Lytechinus pictus: one gene and its partner. The protein of the gene in region 2 purifies or fractionates together with the protein of the main gene of each other region. This does not show direct contact. Links are inferred from orthologs where the notes say so. Each region holds a gene or a part of one and is shown on either strand. Other genes may lie near its edges.

Evidence for each region.
Region 1: the proteins of small ribosomal subunit protein mS27-like (region 2) and nitric oxide-associated protein 1-like purify together in Homo sapiens (co-immunoprecipitation; 3 studies listed by BioGRID and IntAct, counting the BioPlex papers as one, with this or other methods). This does not show direct contact. The link is inferred for Lytechinus pictus from reciprocal best matches to the Homo sapiens genes MRPS27 and NOA1.

Annotation. Positions count from the first base shown.
Region 1 is NC_087256.1:9,378,256-9,387,481, forward strand, and holds the start of nitric oxide-associated protein 1-like, read right to left. Parts: upstream 4,005-9,226; 5' UTR 3,925-4,004; coding exon 3,822-3,924; intron 1-3,821. UniProt on the Homo sapiens protein: Involved in regulation of mitochondrial protein translation and respiration. Plays a role in mitochondria-mediated cell death. May act as a scaffolding protein or stabilizer of respiratory chain supercomplexes. Binds GTP.
Region 2 is NC_087249.1:14,653,174-14,662,256, forward strand, and holds the start of small ribosomal subunit protein mS27-like, read right to left. Parts: upstream 4,223-9,083; coding exon 4,105-4,222; intron 1-4,104. UniProt on the Homo sapiens protein: RNA-binding component of the mitochondrial small ribosomal subunit (mt-SSU) that plays a role in mitochondrial protein synthesis. Stimulates mitochondrial mRNA translation of subunit components of the mitochondrial electron transport chain.

The DNA of each region.
Region 1 (9,226 bases), on a different chromosome or scaffold from region 2:
CTCTCCTTCCATAGTTTTTTTCATTCTCTCCTCTCTTAATTCATTCTTTCCTCCCTCTCTTTCCTCCTTTCTTTCATTCTTTATATTATTTTTCCTTCTAATTCTTTTCCCTTATTCTTTTTTTTTCTTTCCCTTCCTTCCTTCCTCACTTCCTGTTTGTTTCTTTCTATCAAAGAATAAAGGAAACATTTTCTTTCCTTCATTCTTTCTTTCCTCCTTTATTTTGTCTAAGTTCACACATTTATTCATCTTCCCTTCCTTTCTTTTCCATTTTATCTAAATTAAATTCAAAGAATGACAGAAACCTTTTTCTCTTTCTTTCATCCTTTTCTTCATTTTCCCCTTCATAATATTTTTCTCTCTTTCTTCTCAATCCGAATTCATCTCTTTTCCTTCTCTCCTTCATTCTTTCATTCACCCTCCCTTCCAATTCTTTATATTTTTCACAAGTCTAACACTGTGTATCCTACTTTAATGTTGATCTTTTTTGTCAATTGTCCCGTATTTCATTTTGTAAAATCTGGTCACCCTGGCCTGGGCCTCACTCACACAACATGCGAGGTTAGTATACTAACCTCGCACAACACATGTGATTTCATAGTGCATTTTGACGTTTTCATTCATCACACGAATGTGAGGGACTAAACTACGCCAAACCTTTCAATATTTGTCCACTATGTTAATCTTGATCGTATGGTTTAAGTTTATTTGAAAAAGAAATTATAAATTATTTATTAAAGTGTTTTTATCGCTTACCTCCAAATCTCAACCAGGATACTTCGCTCGGTCCGTCCTTAGTCATCCTTCGTACTGCGGTGGAAATTACGCAAACAACAATCGAAATGCGAAATTTTCCTATCGAACATTCTCGATTCAAGTCGTCGGCGCATAATAGGAAATTGTACCAAAAATCAACATAGTTCTCTATTTATTCAAACAATTTTTTCTGGGGTGCACTTGACCTTTAAGAGATTTTCCAATGAAAATATTACATGGAACTTGGAAATACAAATCATAATTTGGTTGAACAAAATGTTTTCTGTTAAAGTATAAAACAGAAGAGGAACATATCCTTCACATATTTTTATATCCAAAATATGTTGCCTTAGTATGGAATAATCACAATGACATAAAATGAAAATGGGTAAAGTACCTTCCTAATGATCATTGAGATTTCGCCTATGGAATCATTGTTTAATAATTTTCAAAGCTTTAAATAGATGAAAATGTTCATTGAGAAAATATACATATATATATATGAACAAAATGATAATGTCCCGATTGTTTCGCATTACGTGTGTTAGATTGCGGGCATTTGTGTGTGTGTGTAGGAAGCAAGATATTCGTGTTAATGTTTGCACAAAAAAGGAGAGGGAAAGGGAAAGGAAAAGGGGAGGGGGAAAGGTAGAGGAGAGAGGGGGAAAAGGAGACCATAAAATAGAAAGAAAACAAAGGAAAGGAAGAGGGGAAGGGAGAGAGAAAGAAAAATGGAAAGAGCGAGAAAAGAGTAGGGGAGGGAGAAAGGAAACAAAAGAAGAGAAAGGAAAAAGCGAGAAAGGGAATGGAGGGGGCGGGAAAGGGAAGGAGAGACAATAAAAGACAGATCAGGGGAGGGGGAAAGGTAGAGGAGAGAGAGGGAAAAGGAGACCATAAAATAGAAAGAAAACAAAAGAAAGGAAGAGGGGAAGGGAGAGGGAAAGAAAAATGGAAAGAGCGAGAAAAGAGTAGGGGAGGGAGAAAGGAAAGAAAAGAAGGGAAAGGAAAAGCGAAAAAGGGAAGGGAAAGGGAGAGAAGAAAAGAAGGGAGAACGAAAATGGGGAAAGGGAGAAGGAGAGGGGATGATGAAGGGGATAGGAAAATGTCAAGTTTGAAGATCTGAATATTAACACTAAAACAAAATTAGACTCCCATGTTTTATTTGTAAAAATACCATCTTTTTCATGATTATAAAGGTTCAACGTCCCTGTTCTAGGTCTAAACTTCAACATAAATCTACTGGCGCTTCGCGCTTGAATTCTGGAGGTCATTCCTCTTTTAAAAGTATAGGTAATCTGTCGGACTTTTCAAATCCCAAATTTAAATCTTAAGCGCAAATGCCCTCGCATTATTTTTCATTTAGATACAGTCCTGTCATCAATATCAAAAACTCTAAGCGCGAGCTTCGCGCTGGCATCATTTTTGTAAGTGACATTTATGATGTTGTTCATATTTTACAAATGTCCATTTGTTGAGGTTTAAATGTCCAAAAGTTCAGCGCTCGCATAATTTGTAAGGTAAATAGGCCTACCCTTTTAATTGTTATACAAAGGCGCTTATACAACGTCCAGAATGCAGTTCGGAATATTGAAAATAACTATTGGTCCCGCTATTTCTGCCCGTGCGACAAGCATTTATCATTTTGAATCATGAGATTCACCTTTAAAATATGATGAAAAAGTATCGTTAAGACTGAATTAAGAAAAAAAGAAGCTCACGTTTCACGCTCGCATTTTGATCCGTTAGCTTGTGATAATAATGGTGACTTCGTTAATATATCTTAGCGGACATGTCCACCTTTTGGTGCTTCAAGAAAAATAAACACAACACACAAATAATAATAGAAAACGAACAAGAATAGAATAGATAGTTACCTATCCCACTCATGAATTCTTATTTAACAGTCCCCAAAACGTCTTTTTCTCGTGTTAGCTTATTTCATATACATATATATATATATATAAATATATATATATATATATATATATATATATATATATAGGTCTCCTCATCATGGTTATAAAAAGTGCTCAGAATGTTTTATTTTCAAGTCCTTGTATCAGAATTTTCAGCTCGGGCAGCTCTATCGCATTTTGATTACTATTCTGTTGATTTATTTACTTGAACAAAATATTTAAAATGTCCAGCTTTTAGAACAGATATCAAAAAAAGGTATTCACCTTTGATCATAGATGAGGAAGAAGAAAAAAGTGCAAAAAAATAGGAAACAAACTAACGAATTAATGTGACATAATTTTTCTTCATTTCAAGGCGACTCTTTACATTATTTTCATCATCGCTGATGGCGCTACAATAGAAAATACCGCTTGACAGCAAAAAAAAAAAAAGAAAGAGGAAAATAATGCTGAGTGTCTAAAATGCAGCTAGTAGTACAAGCTGCAGAACCGTAAACAAACATCTTGTGAATAATATCGCGCGCCCTCTTCAAGCAAAAGTTTACAACCACGATGACCCTGCGGTATCTACGTGAAGATCACGAGAAAATGCTTTTTTTTCTTAAAAACACACCAAAGAGAAGTCAAGAAACGATCCATATGGTTCGGTAAGTGTCATAGCACAATTAGAAACATTATTTTAAAAGGAATGGCATAGTTATTTTAGTAAAAAGGGTGTGAAAAATTCGCGTGCACCAGGTGCATATGAATCCTTCGCACCCGAGATGCATTGATCCCATGAGTGGCCTGGGCCTAACAGTTGGAATTTTTGGATCTATTTTATTTTTATTTGCAAAATTATTAAGTTTAGCATGCAGCACTGCACTGCAGAATATACCGAAATAGTTTATTAATTTTGGTTATCAGGTTTTGATGACTGATGGCAAATTTCGCCTTGCTTATCAATCAACCACTGAACTGCCACTGACTGGGTCTGGGGGATGGCAGGGCACTATGTCTATGACCTCGGCCACGCCACGGCTACGGACAAGCGAGCAAGCTAGCGCCGCACCGCGACCGCACCAGCAAGGAAGTGCCAGGTTGGCCGACGGCCGACCCGCATTGCCAGGCCAAAGCGGCAGCCGTTCGATTTAAGCATATTTTTCTTACCTAATACTTCTGGAAGAAAAGATGATGAGCTCTTAATCATACGATGCACACATGGTACGCGAACTACTTGTAGAAATCGATAATTCAGCATATTATTAGCCATTTTATTAAAAACAACTTATCCAAATACCTTGCGAAACACATTTTCTACGGTGTCCCTAACGATTCTCAGGAAAATGAAATCCAACCCAGAAGTAGATCTAACACGGTGAAAGGAAAAACATAAACGGGATACAGGACATCAGTCAACATGGCCAGCAAACGCAAAAGACTAGGAAAAAACCTTTGTTAGTGATCAGATACGCCTAATTGTCAAAACACCTGTATGTTCTCATTAAAATGCATATAATAAGAACACGGCGACTATGATTGCATCCATGGGTGTCGATCACGGGGGGATGGGGGGATATATCCCCCCCAATAATTTAGGGTAGAAAATTTATAATAATGATGATGAAAAAATGAAAAGTTTGATCATGATGATTATAGTGATGATTATAGTATGCTATCAATCATTTTGTTTCCCTCGCAATTTGTGTATATTGATATTAAATAAAAACGTTCTTTTCCAGGACTTTTATACAGATGGGTGGAGGTTCAAGATGAAAAAGAATGAAATGTTTATGTATATGATATTTTTTAACACATGACATAAAAGGACCCCGACGACAAACAACTTTTGTTGATAGGGTGTTCCATCCCACCAGTGGTAATATGATCATATTTTAACAATTTAATAAGTGAAATCAATTAATGGTTTCAGAAAGAATAATCATTCATTTCTCTCTAAAGCGTATCTTCGGATATGAACATCGGATTTTTTTTTTCATGTTATTCTTGTTGTTGTTATGGATTTGAATAACTAAACTTGATTGATTTTTTCTTAATTTGGCAAAAAAAAAAATCTCTTTCGAGTTTGGAAAGGGATGACAGTTTTGCATTCTATATGAGCACACTCATGCGGTACGTAAATTTCATTTTAACACATATATTAGCTGATATTACACACTGATGGTTCAAGAAAATGTTGGAGAAATATCATAACATGACAGTTGAGTTTTTATTGTTTTTACGTTTGTTTTTGTTTCATGCACTTATAAAGCATTTAAAACATGTTAAATCGTCTAAGGATTGACGGTAAGCCCGATGGCGCACGAGAAGCCACACAGTTTGTAATTTGTGCTAGTCTTAATTTGTCCGAATCTGCATTTTATCATTCTGCATTTTATCATCATGCATTAAGAAGAAAAAAGATATTGCCAGACGGGTTAGATTTAAGAGAGAAGTTGTATACATCATGCTCAATAAACAGATCACTTTGTACATGGTCCAGACGATTTTTGTCATTTTATCTTTCGTATATGAGTTTAGAATAGGCTTACTTGTAACACAAATTGAATTTTCAAAAAAATTATATAAGTACAGTACACTGCAACAATAAAGGAATTTCCAAGAACACAGTGGCGTAACTACGGGGGGGGGGGGGCATGGGGGGGGCACGTGCCCCCCAATCGGCTGGCCAGAAAAAAAACTGGGAAGATGAGAAAAAGAGGGAGAAAGGAAGAGAAACGTAGTGGGAATGAAGAAATTATTGTTCATTATAATGTTATATTATAATAATTAAGAATGTTATGTTATAATACATAAGAAACATTTTTCATAACTTTATTTTGCTCAGGCCTAGATGTCTTTATTGTTCCCGGTACTCACATTGTCTGTTTAACGTTTTTAAGTCAATATACACCACATATATTTCCTCGCACTTCGACTTATTATTGTTTGATGTAGTGACATATGGTTCTTTTTCATGACTACTTAAAGTGATTGCCCCATTTTAAGGTGTTAATATAAAACATTTCCTGTCCGTGCTTACGTTCGCACTAGTAGATTGGTGAGAAATGTCTGCTCTTCATGAATTCCTAAAATTCAGTCCTTCAAATGGGCAGTTTATAATCACTCGCGTCGCGTTCTGGTTCGTAATCACTCGCGTTTTGGATTTTTGGCGATTTTTTTTTATTTCGGTGCGATTTTTTTTTCACGGTGTCTTCAATGAAACAGACATGCAGGGAAATTTGAGTTTCGTTTTAAGCCGGCAATTAAGTGCCTTGAAATAAAATGTACTCGACTACTGTTTTAAGTACCAAGAATAGATAACAAGCTTGATCCGCCCCAGACAGCTGGCAGCAGTCTGTTTTGAGGAGTTTTTTTCAAACATTTTTAATTTTTTTTTTAATTTCTCTGTATTTGTTCTTTTAAATTTCTCTGTATTTCTCTGTATTTGTTTTTTTTTATTTCTCTGTATTTGTCCTTATTGTTCATCTCCCTTCTCACTTCTTCCTTTTCTCTTCTCAGTCTTCCCCTTATTTTATCTTCTCTTTCTCTTCTTCTACATCCTCCCCTCAATTTTCTCTTTTTAATTTTATTTTTACCCCCTTATGTCCTCCATCTTCTTTTTTCTTCTTCTACTTCTCCTCCTCCTTCTTGCTTTTCTTCTTCAGCACTTTTTCCTCCCTGATTTTTACGTTAGTGTAGAATAATTCACAAAGAAAGGAAGAAGCAAATAAATAGTGATATTATGAAATTGTAGCACCTCACTATGCTTTATAAAGAATACCACAGACTTCAGGAAAATCCTCCAAAGGCAAAGCTAAATCGAGAGTAGCCTTTCCTCCTTTTTCTTCTTTATTCCTTTTCTCCTTTCTTTCTCCTTTTTTCCTTGCTTCTTTCTTTCTGTCTGTCTTTTTTCTTTCTTTCTCTTTTCTCCCTCTTTCCCTTCCTTTCTCCCCCCCCTCTCTCTTTTTTTAGGGGGAGCCCCCCCCCCGCTTCCGCCGCCTATGGCTCTAAGATTTAAGATGTGGAATGTGATTATGTTAAAACAGTAGTCAAAATTTGCTTGTTATCTTAAAACAGTGGTCGAGAACGTTTTATTTAAGGCACTTACCAGCTTAAAATAAAACGAAACTCGAATTTCAATTTCATTTTATTTTTCCAGTACGTTTGTCTCATTGAAAACACCGTTAGAAAAAAAATCGCACCGAAAAAAAAAAAATCGCCAAAAATAAAAAACGCGTGTGATTACCAACCCGACGCGAGTGATTACGAACGCGAGTGAATATAATAAGCCTTAAAATGTCCCTTTTTCTGATCTGAATATCAAAAATTTTCAGCTCGCGCTTCGCGCTCGCATCATTTGTTCAGTGAAATATGTATCGTATGGTCTTAGTGAATTCTTACAAATAGGCCTTAGAATGCCTCTCTTCAGGTCTGAATATCCTAAATTTTCAGCTCGCGCTCGCAATATTGATGAGTGACATGCGTATTATCATGATTACAATGACTACAAAAAGTGCTTCATGTGTTTAGATGTAGCAAAATCAGCAAGCGCTTTGCACTCGCATTAGATGACTATGGTGAGATATGTATACTCTTAATGGATTCCATAATTGTTTGGGGTCAATATTTACAAAAATTTCAGCTCGCGCTTCGCGCTCGCATTGTTTGTTTAGCGAGACAGGTATGTATCATGATTACAAAAATTTGCTTATAATGTCCTTTTTGGTCTGCATATCAAAAATTTTCAGCCCGCGCTTCACGCTCGCTTTATTTGAGCAGTGAGATACATATCCGTTTAATGGCACTGTCCTTAAAATGTCCCTATTAGGTCAGTATACCTGGCAACTGAGCGCGCTTCGCGCGCTCACTAAGTGACTCAAAAATTTTGCTGGTGCCCCCCAATGCCGTGACTCACGGTACGCCACTGCAAGAACACCATGCATATCAACCACTCCCAAATGTCCTAACTTGTGATTTTAGTGGGGGTAATGTTGAAAGATCCCCATCCACAAGAACATTTGTGTCAATCATCCCCCCAACCAAGAATACCGATCGACACCCATGATTGCATCAAAAGAAGGCTCGCGTTAATCGTTAACAAGGTCTATAGTTGCAATAAGTGGCGACTTAAAATTTTAGCTCGTGCCTCCAATGCCGTGACCCACGGTAACTGTGTGTAAACACTATGAAAAAACAAACTAATCAAGTAATTTGCATTAAAATCAAGGTCCATAAATAGGAATATGTGCCTCATTGAAACAAGCTCAGAATCAATATATCGTTGTTAATTTCTCATGTTTCTTATTCTTATTTTAGAAACATGCAGTTTAATATAGGCCCGTCGGAAAGAATATAAAAGCAGTACGGTACGACTTGAAATTCGTGAACATGATAGGCCCCCATTAATGCAAGAGCGAAGCGCGAGATGAATTTGTGATATGGCCTGAGAAAGGTAGACATAATATAAAACATTTCAATCGCAAACATGAAGCCAGAGATTTATATCATGATTTCTCGCTAAATATTTCATGCGAGCGCGAAGCCCGAGCGTAATTTATTAACCTGAAAATTAATTTTTAGAGGACTATTTGCAGAAATTTATAAACATGAATAGCCACGTATCTCACGAAATGGACAAATCGGGCGGGGAGCCCGAGCTGCAATATTTCGATTCTTTGACTCAAAAAGTCTACTCAGAAATTTATCTACAAGATGCACCTACAAAGTATACTTAAACATTTCATCTGTTACTGTACTTTTATATTTCTTTTGGTGAAAAAGAAAATCAAATTAAATGAAAAATGAAGATAATGATGATGATGGTAATGATGATGGTGATGATGATAACAATAGTAATAATAATAATGATAATAATAATAATTATTATTATTATAATGATACTACTACTTCTACTACTACTACTACTACTACTACCACTTATACTACTAACACGTTCTGCTAATGACAATGGCAACAAAAATGTTTTCAATACTCATCTTCATTCTTCGTTCCCTTTTTAAAGAAATCGATTTTACCCATTTTTCTTTTTGCCCTCCCCGTCTGTGGTTCCAACAGAGTTGAAAGCTGTTTGGTGAACTCACTTCTTCTCAAAACGCGAATGTTGGAATTTCTCATTTTAATTCGCGGGTATGTGAAAATTAGTCCAGGATAGAAGGGGTCGAACCTTGTTTTTTTATATATACAATGTTTTTTTATGGTTTCTTGTCAATTCGAGGGTGCTGATTCCGAATCTGAATGATGCCACTCGTGTAACCTTGAGCATTTTCTGCAAATTGGCAAAATCCAATATGGCCGCCAAAATATTCAAATTACCCATGAAAATCATAAAATTGTCCCCACATTGGCTTTAAAGTACATGCAATTGTGCTGCCGGAGTGAAATAATATCTGAAAAAAATGATTTTTGTCAAAATATTTATTTTCTTGATATCAAAATGGCCGCCATCATAGACCCCTGTACAATATGAATGGGGAAAATTAATTTTTACAAAATTGAGCACTGAAATGCAAGTAATTATGATCTATGAGTGAAGCAATGTCTGTAAACATGAT
Region 2 (9,083 bases):
AGTTTGTCTTTTAATTAGGAAATATGTTGCCTTGTGATATTTCTATTGTTGAAATTCATTGTGAATTTGTGATATGTGTCTGGGGGCAATTGTTACAAACATTATATTCAAATATAAATATATATAGGTCTATATATCATATATAGATTTCTATAGATATATATTATTTATATTATGTCATTCACTTCAATGTAATTCAAGTTTATTGTGTCAATTTTTTTTATTTTCTATGTTCCTTTATAATAGAAATAATTTAGTCTATTATTGTTATAATAATAATAACAATTTTATATACCGCAAAATCGCAAAATTGCCTCTAAGCGGTTAAGAGAAAGGAAAATGAAGTATAAAGGAAATAGAAGTACTTTGCACAACAAAATGTATCAAAACTAATATTACAATTTACAACTTTCTCACCAGATCATGAATAAAGAAATACCATCAAATGGGCCAATAAACATATGAAATGATCAATTTAAGATTTAAAAAGATGAGTTTTAAGCATAACTTTAAATGTATTAACACAGTTAGCATTGCGAATTTGTAGGGGGAGATTGTTCCAAAGAAATGAAGCTGCATAAGAGAACGAACGCTGACCGTATTGTTTGTAAGAAGTATGAGATCGAGAAAGAAGAGATTGAGAAGCTGAACGTAGAACTCGAACAGGCTGATATCGAGGAAGGAGTTCAGAAAGGTATGAAGGAGCTAGACCATGATATGACTTGAAAGCAAGAAGAAGAATTTTGTAAGTGATACGAGAAGTAATAGGTAGCCAGTGGAGTTATGATTAGGCCCTATTATTGTTATCACTATCCTTAATATTATCATTATTATCATTATTATTGTCATCAGTAGTATATGAAACAAAATCATTACTACTGTTACAACATTTGAAAGGGGTTGCATTTTTTAGCTTGTATGCCTTATTTAGTTTCATCAGGAATGCCTGCTTCTTGATTTATAATTCAGTGTGCTATTTTGTAGATTTCACAATATGTTTCAAACTTATTCTCTTTCTACCCTCTTTACCCCTAACTTTGCTATGAAAAAAAAAATTATTGGAACACAAATAAGTGTTGAGTCTGCCATTATGTCTTCCGCTTTTAAATCCATGATAAATCCACAAGTCCATTCAAACTGTATTTTGTTGTTTCACAAACTTTCTGGGATTCTCAAGGGAAAACAGCACTTCTCAGTGCAGTTGCTTCACAGAAGACTGCAAAAATAGATGAAAGGTATATTATGAGATAATTTTTATTCTCACTGGACACAGCATTGTCTGATCCAACATTTGAATACAAAGAAGAGACAAAAGTAGAAGATTGGCTAGAACACACAGGTTATTCTTTTGCAATCAAAATGTTACTTAAAAGATTCTCTGATGAACCTGCGACACTCGAGTACCAGGCATTTGAAGACATCATGCTGACCTACATGAAGTATTTAATTAGAAAATTATGACTTGCTTTCTGAGAATGAAAAGTTGTCATTGGGAAAGATATATAACTTCTTTTGTGGTCTACATGCACTTATCCACTTGGCTGAGGTATCATCAGCATCCCTTTGTGAACTCAACGAGGGTTTTTCGCTGAAGGAGCACCTGTCTTTGACAAGTCATTCAGGAAATCAACAGAATCTGGCACAACCAGGCTCGTCCGAACAGTCTGCAAAGTGATATCTTGGGGTGGTGATGAGAAGTCTGGCTGCCATGGTAGATTTTTGGAATATGCCAGGCTGTGGTTGAAGAGTCAACTTGGATACAACAAAGTTCCACTTGAGCAGTTTCGCGGAAATAGATTTAACATTCTATTTCAAAATGCGGTAGGGGTGGTTTTTTTTAGGTGGAGAACTCACCATTTTCTTAGAGAGTAACGCAGACAATAAGCTTCTCAAGGCTGTTCTTTATGATCTCAAGGTGGAAGAATACTTACATGTAGCAGGATGCAAAGCACTTGGATTGGTGTCGTACTTAGTCAAGATGCCCTTATGGAGATCAATAGAGGTTACAGAGATTCATCTCATGGACATTGGAGAGCGATATCAAACCATCATCGACTTCATCCAACATGCTAGTGAACATGTCAGGGATTTCATGAAAGGGTCATTGAGACTTCCATTTGCTGAACAACACTCTTTGGATAGTGACCCAATCTTCAAAGCTCTCATCAATGAAACACACATTTGAAGATAAGACTGAAGTTGTGTTATCAAAAATGCTGGTAACTATAGCAACTCTTTAAAAGAGAATATTTGCAGATCACCTAGAAGGTGGACGGTGGCATGGTGCAAGCGAGGAGGAACGTGAAAGAGCAAAAGGTCTTCCCAAACCCAATAAGTTCTCTGAAAGTGTGTTCGGACATCTTGACAGGCTGCTGAAGGAAAAACCAAATCTATCAACAGTTGCGGCAGAGGCCTACATTATGTTCTCACACAAACAGACACTTGCCTGGTTGAAGGGAAAGACTAAATCTGAAAAGGCACAACTCTTCTCTAAGGCTAGCAGAAATGTAGCTAAGCTTCAGAAAGCTTTCAAACAGAGACAAAAGCAGATATAACAGAGTCGTAGAGATGCAGCAGCAGAAAAAATGAAAGCTGCTGAGGAAGCAAAGGCAAAAGTTATTAAGTGGAAAGAGAAATTAACCGAAACATTGTCCTTTGGGGCCTGTGGCAAACGGAGCAATGTGTAGATGATGCCTTAAAATGTGCTCAAGACTAAATCAAACAAGAAGTGCAGAAGAAGTGCAGAAACAGAAACCACTAGACAGTGCTCTCAAAGATGTATATACCTTTTCCAAGAAAGATAAAAGAGGAAACAGTGTATGTATACACTGTGTATATATGTGTGTATGTATGTATACGATGCAGGGCCCAATATTTGCGTCCTTTCCGATGGACGGAGTGTTTTCCAACTGTATTCACACCTGCACTGATGACAGGATCACTCAGATGATTCCACTCAATAGTGGATGGGAAGAACGAGTTCCTGTATTGTTCAGTTCGTGCTCTGATTGGATTGTAGCACTTGTTATTATTTGTCACTTGCCTATCTATAATATTTGTAGTGTCACAGTTTTCCCTGGCTCCGTGGAGAGTAAGCATACGTTACTCGTTAGTGAATGATTTTTACTCTCTACGACTACGTTAACGTTAGCTTCCAAGCCTCCTGTCCTGGCATGCCTGGCTAGCCTAACGAGTAACATTAGTCCCCCTTATTCAATTTTTTTTCATACAAAATTTGGGCAAGAATTGAATCAAGTCACTGTTTCTTCCCCTTTTAAGTTTATTTTCCCCCATTTTGGTGCATTTCAGGCCAAAACGGAATAATTATCTTTATTTTTGGTACAGTTCTTTTTATATATTTTTATGAAATAAAGACAAAACTTGAAGAGCCCCATCGGGGGATTTTGCATTGTTAACTCCCTTATGGTGGCTGCACGATAGCGAGCCATCTGTGTACGAGGAGAAATTAAAATGTTAAAAAACTCCTCGAAACAGACGGCTGCCAGCTGTCGGAAAGAGTTCCATATGCATCCCCCACCAAAAATAACAAGATTGTTGAGAATTCCGGTTTATTCACCTCAGATTTTTCTATCATTTTTTTTAATGTTAATTACCGTAGTCGGGACTTGAACTCACCTCGTTTTATCTGCAGTCAAGGGGTATTTTAACGATTATCAGCCGATAGTCTAGACTCACAGACCCTTTACGGACTAAATAAACCAATGTCTATGCCATGGCATGGATTTAATTTTAATTACACGCACTAGGCCTACTCCTGCTCGAAACTTGACGGAATAAAGTAAAGCCATATTTTGATATGAATTTCCACTCCCCCATCATATATGTTCTATATTAGGGCCTATGGCTAGATATATTATTCTGAACCTTCTCCATGTTTTTATTTTCAATTTTAGTGGGGGTGCATATGGAACTCTTGCCCAGCTCAGCTGTCTAAGACTAAGCTACTCCTAGTACTTTGCCAAAGACGAGCTACGCCGCCAGGCACGGGGGGCAAGTGAGAGCCAATCCGGTTAATTCTGCTCAGAGAATCAAGCCGCAAATAACCCAAAATCTTACCTCACTACCAACGTTATTGATACTTACAAGACAACAAATTAGGGTTCATCATAGTAAATCTACACCTTAATAGACCTGTTCTAGAAATTGCTGCCATATAAGCCGGTAATTTGTTGAAAATTTTTGGCTTTACCAGAGACGCCATGGTTCTTCTTGGTCCGCTCTGTCCTGCTGCTAGCGATAGCTAGCATGCAATTAATCATATCATAGCATGGCTTGCGCTTGACCATTAACCGTACGTAGAGGGCAGCAACACTGGTCTAATATATTTCGTGACTTATTGGCGGAGCAAAATAATACAATTTTTCCTGGGGGGGGGGGAGAGAAGAGGAAATAAGAGTTTCCTCTCTAGCTCCCTCCGAGAGCTTACGTGTACGTCAGATCGTATCTCTGTGGTCTAATATTTCGTCTAATCAAAGTAATCGTGTAATTGCCATTTCCATAGGCGGCACAGTGAGCCACTGCAGTTTTTTCGCCCTTTTTTCGCCGTTTTGTGTGTTATAACCTATGGGAAATTCAAAGTTGCAGTTTTTTCGCCGTTTTGAAAACGGCTAGAAAAGGGCGAAGAAAGGGAGAATTTTTGGAGAAAAAACGGCCAAAAAACGGCTACATTAGGTTTCTTACGTAAATCTTGAATTATTATGGAGTGCCATCATTGTTCAATATTAGCGGAGCTATTGATTTCCCCATGAAAACGGCGAGAAAACGGCGAATGTTAAGGACGAGGATCCTGTTAGAGGCAGTGGCGTAACAGGCGGGGGGGCAGGGGGGGCAAGTTGCCCCCCCTGGCGGATTTCACCGGGAAAATAAAAAAAAAACGGGAAAAAAGAAAAGGGAGGGGGGAAGAAAGGGAAGGGGGAGGAAAAGGGAAAAGGAAAGGAGGAAAGGGGAAAAAACCGAAGAACTTATTATTTTGTTTAATGGAAAAGGAAGGAAAGCGGGAAAAGGAACGAAAGAAGAACATTTGAGAAAGAAAAAATCATTCCAAAGTAGGCCTAAGTAAATCAATAGCATGATGGGAAATAAATTTCAAGATGAAAAAGTGGCAAACAATAGCGGAAAATGAAGGTAGAATTAGTCAAAAGCTACATTGGAAAACAAAGAAGAACAAGAAAAAAAAAACACTTGATAACACGACCGGGCTGCCGAGGATTGATAAAAAAGAGCGGGAAGAAAGATGGACTGCATGCATACAACATTTTGCTATAAGCTAGCTAAATTTTATGCAAAAAAGCTACCAGGGCTTTGCCCCGCCGGACCCCACGCAGTAGGGGCTCCTCATTATAGGCCTAACATTCCAATGGCTCTATAACGCCCCCCTGTAGGGACCCTTCCTACATTAAGCTTTTCGTTCAATCACTGGCGTACAGGCGTGGCGGGGGGTCTTGGTTCCACAACCAAGGGGAAATAAAAGAAATATAGAAGACAAATTAATGAAACGAATGTAAATAATGAAATGTGTCATTTGCTGAATATAATGGGAAAATCTATCACATAATTTGAATTTAATTTCAATAGGCAATTTTTTTTTCAGCTCGCTTCGCTCGCTGGCGACTTTTTACAAATTTTCACACATCGCTATGCTTTGCCCCGTCAAAATATTTGGTTTATTACGCAACTGGGTTGAATAGATGTGTTGTGTAAAAGCTATATCCTATACCCGCGATATGATTAAAGATAGCGGCCATCTGCGGGGTTTAAATGGCTTTGATATCAAGAAGTTCCGGGGGCTCCGCCCAAGACCCCAACCGCATAGCACTGCCGTATATGAGTATGGAAGGGTTTAGCCATGGCCCCTAAAAGTTCTGCAACCAAAATAAGAGGAAAGAAAAGCACAGGATTCGAATCTACATAAGCTATGTAATATTATGATTTTATTTACTGAATATAATGTCAAAAAATATAGCAAAGTTAGATTCTCATGAAAAGACGATTTTTTTTCTCGCTCGCTTCGCTCGCTCGGGATTTATATTAAGCAGTTTTTTAGTACATGCACCATACTGCGCCCTTTTCTATTTTGGGTTTTTTTTTACTCTTCACGCTACTGCCGCAAAAATTCCTTTTCACAGTGGCGTACAGACCACAAAAAAGGAATGGAAAGAGAAAAGATTGAAATATATTCTCTGGATATCATGTCAAAATCTATCACAAAATTGAATTTTTGTATAAAAAATGTCAAAATTTTTGCTCGCTCGCTTCGCTCGCTCGCAACATTTTTGTTAAGGATAAATTCAGCCCGATACGCAATATCTGGCCCTCTCAAAATAGTCGCCTCATTACACCATAACGTCTGTTTATATCACCAAATCACACTTGTACGAGGTTATACGGTATGCTATATGACCGGGAAATTTTTGGCTCTTGCCCCCCCTGGCCACCGACCCCTGTTACGCCGCTGGTTAGAGGAGTGAAGATACTGAAAGAAAACGGCTAATAAACGGAGAGAAAAGGGCGAGAAAACGGAGACAAAAGGGCGAATGGGTAGTAAGGCGCGCGTTGCATAAAACGGAGAGAAAAGGCCGAGAAAACGGAGACAAAAGGGCTAATGGGTTTAATGCGTGCAGTGCATAAACGGAGAGAAAATTGTGAATGGGTCCCAAGGAGTGCATTCCATGAAACGGAGAGAAAATGGCGGGACAACGGAGAGAAAAGGGCAGATGAGTAGTAAGAGGTGAGAGCATGAAACAGAAAAAAAAAAGGTTAGAAAAAAAAAAAAAAGGGCGAATGGGTTGTACGAAGTGCATTGCATAAATCAGAGAAAAGGGGCGATAAAACTAAGACGAAATGGCGAATGAGTGAGAAGTGCATTGCATAAAATGGCAAAAAGAAATGTGAAAATGTGTGATATGCATTGAGAAAAAGCGACTAGAAAACGTAAAATATATATTTGCAATATTTCTACCAACTTAAGATTTTCTGAAGAACTCCTTTTGGAAATAAGCTCTAGTTTTCATTCATGGGTAATATTCAATAATAATTCTCATGTCATTCATGTAAAAAAAATTGTTATTTTACTTTCTGGGGGGGTTACGCCTTCTTTCATAAATCTTATTTACATATTGTATAGGCCTACTACATTCATTGTTTTATTTCAACATTTTTTATATTTCATGTGGAATTTGATAAAATGTCAATCAGATGAAAATAAAATTTAATTGAATTGGATTGAAACTTCTTTGAATACTTTATTCTTTACTCTTATTTTCCCTTCTTCATGGGCGGGAACCCGAGGGGGACGTGTCCCTCACTCTTTGGAAAGGGGGATGCTTAATAAAATCCCCCGCGGGTACAGTAACAGGGAGGGGGCAGGCCCCCCTGAGATTTGGTGTGCCCCCCAGGTGCCCCCCTGAAAAAAATTGGCAGAGCAAACAAAAGGAGAAAGAAGAAAGGAAAAAGACGGAGAAAGTCAGAAAAAAGTAGAGGAGGAAGACGACTAAATAAAATAAACAGGTCTACCAGCATTCAAAGAGGCTGCGCTTCCCATCATTATAAATTTGCAGCCTCCAACCGGATCTCTTGTTCTTTAAGATGTATCCAGGTTTTTACTTGCACATCGCACTAGAGATCTTCACTATATGACACCAATCTTTCACGACATTTTGCAAAGTTCATTCCAGTTTAGCTTTTTGGAGCTGCAAGAGGAATTATCGTATCAAGTATCAAGTATGTGAGGGGAAGACTTAATTGCAAAAAAAAAAAATCTTTCATGTTACTATATAATATTTTCGCTTGCGCTTCGGGCCGAATTGCCTGTTCGATGAGATTCATATCTTGCTCAACAGGCTGATATGGGGCTTAAAATGGCAAGTTTTGAAGTCAATATACAAAACATATTTCAGCTCGAACATCGAGCTTTTATAAAAATTTTTCATTTATAAATGGGTGCTGCAGCTGATGTCCGTTTTATGGTCTACATATCAACATTTTAAGCTCAAACTGCGTGGTCGCATTATTCGATTTGCCAAATTCCTGACTTGTCTTCGTGTATTCCATAACATTCTCAAAATATCAATTTTCAGATGGGATTGTCAAACGTAGGCCTATAAGTTAGCGCTTCACGCTCGCAGTATTAACGATACCATTTCCTATTCATGATTTACAAAATATGAAGTGTCCCGCTTTTAGGTCTAAAATCTCAATTTTGTTCCTCTCGCGCTTCGCGCTCGCATCAGTTGTTTAGTTACATACCTATCCCATTTATGATTACAAAAAGTGCTTATAGAATTACAATTTTTTAGGTCGGAATGTCAACAATTTTTAGCTCGCGCTTCGCGCTCCCATTATTGAAATATGTACCGTCTTCGTGGAGGGGTGGGGAGGATGACTGAAATATTTTGGCATATTTTTTGCAATCATGTTTTTAGATATGCAAGGAATTGTAATTGATATGTCCACAGTGGCGTACCGTGGGTCACGGCATTGTGGGGGCCCCAGCAAAATTTTTGAATCACTGAGTGAGCGCTCAGTTGCTAGTTATTCTAACCTAATAGAGACATTTTAAGGACAATGTCATTGAACGGATATGTATCTCACTGATCAAATAATGCGAGCGCGAAGCGCGAGCTGATTTTTTTTAATATTCACACCTAAAAAGGGACATTATAATCAAATTTGCGTAATCATGATTGTTACCTGTCTCGCTAAACAATGCGAGCGCGAAGCGCGAGCTGAAATTTTCGTATATTTTGACCCCAAACAGCGAGATTTTAAGGAATATATTTTAGGAATCCATTAAGAGTATGCATATCTCACCATAGTCATCTAATGCGAGTGCCAAGCGCTTGCTGATCTTATTAGAATTACATCTGAACACATGAAACACTTTTTGTAGTCATTGCAATCATGATTATAATACGCATCTCACTAATCAAATATTGCGAGCGTGAAGCGCGAGCAGATAATGTAGATAAGTTAGATAATTCAGACCTGAAGTGGGGCATTCTAAGGTTTCTTTGTAGGAATTAACTTGGACCATACGTATTTCATTAACAAAATGATGCGAGTGC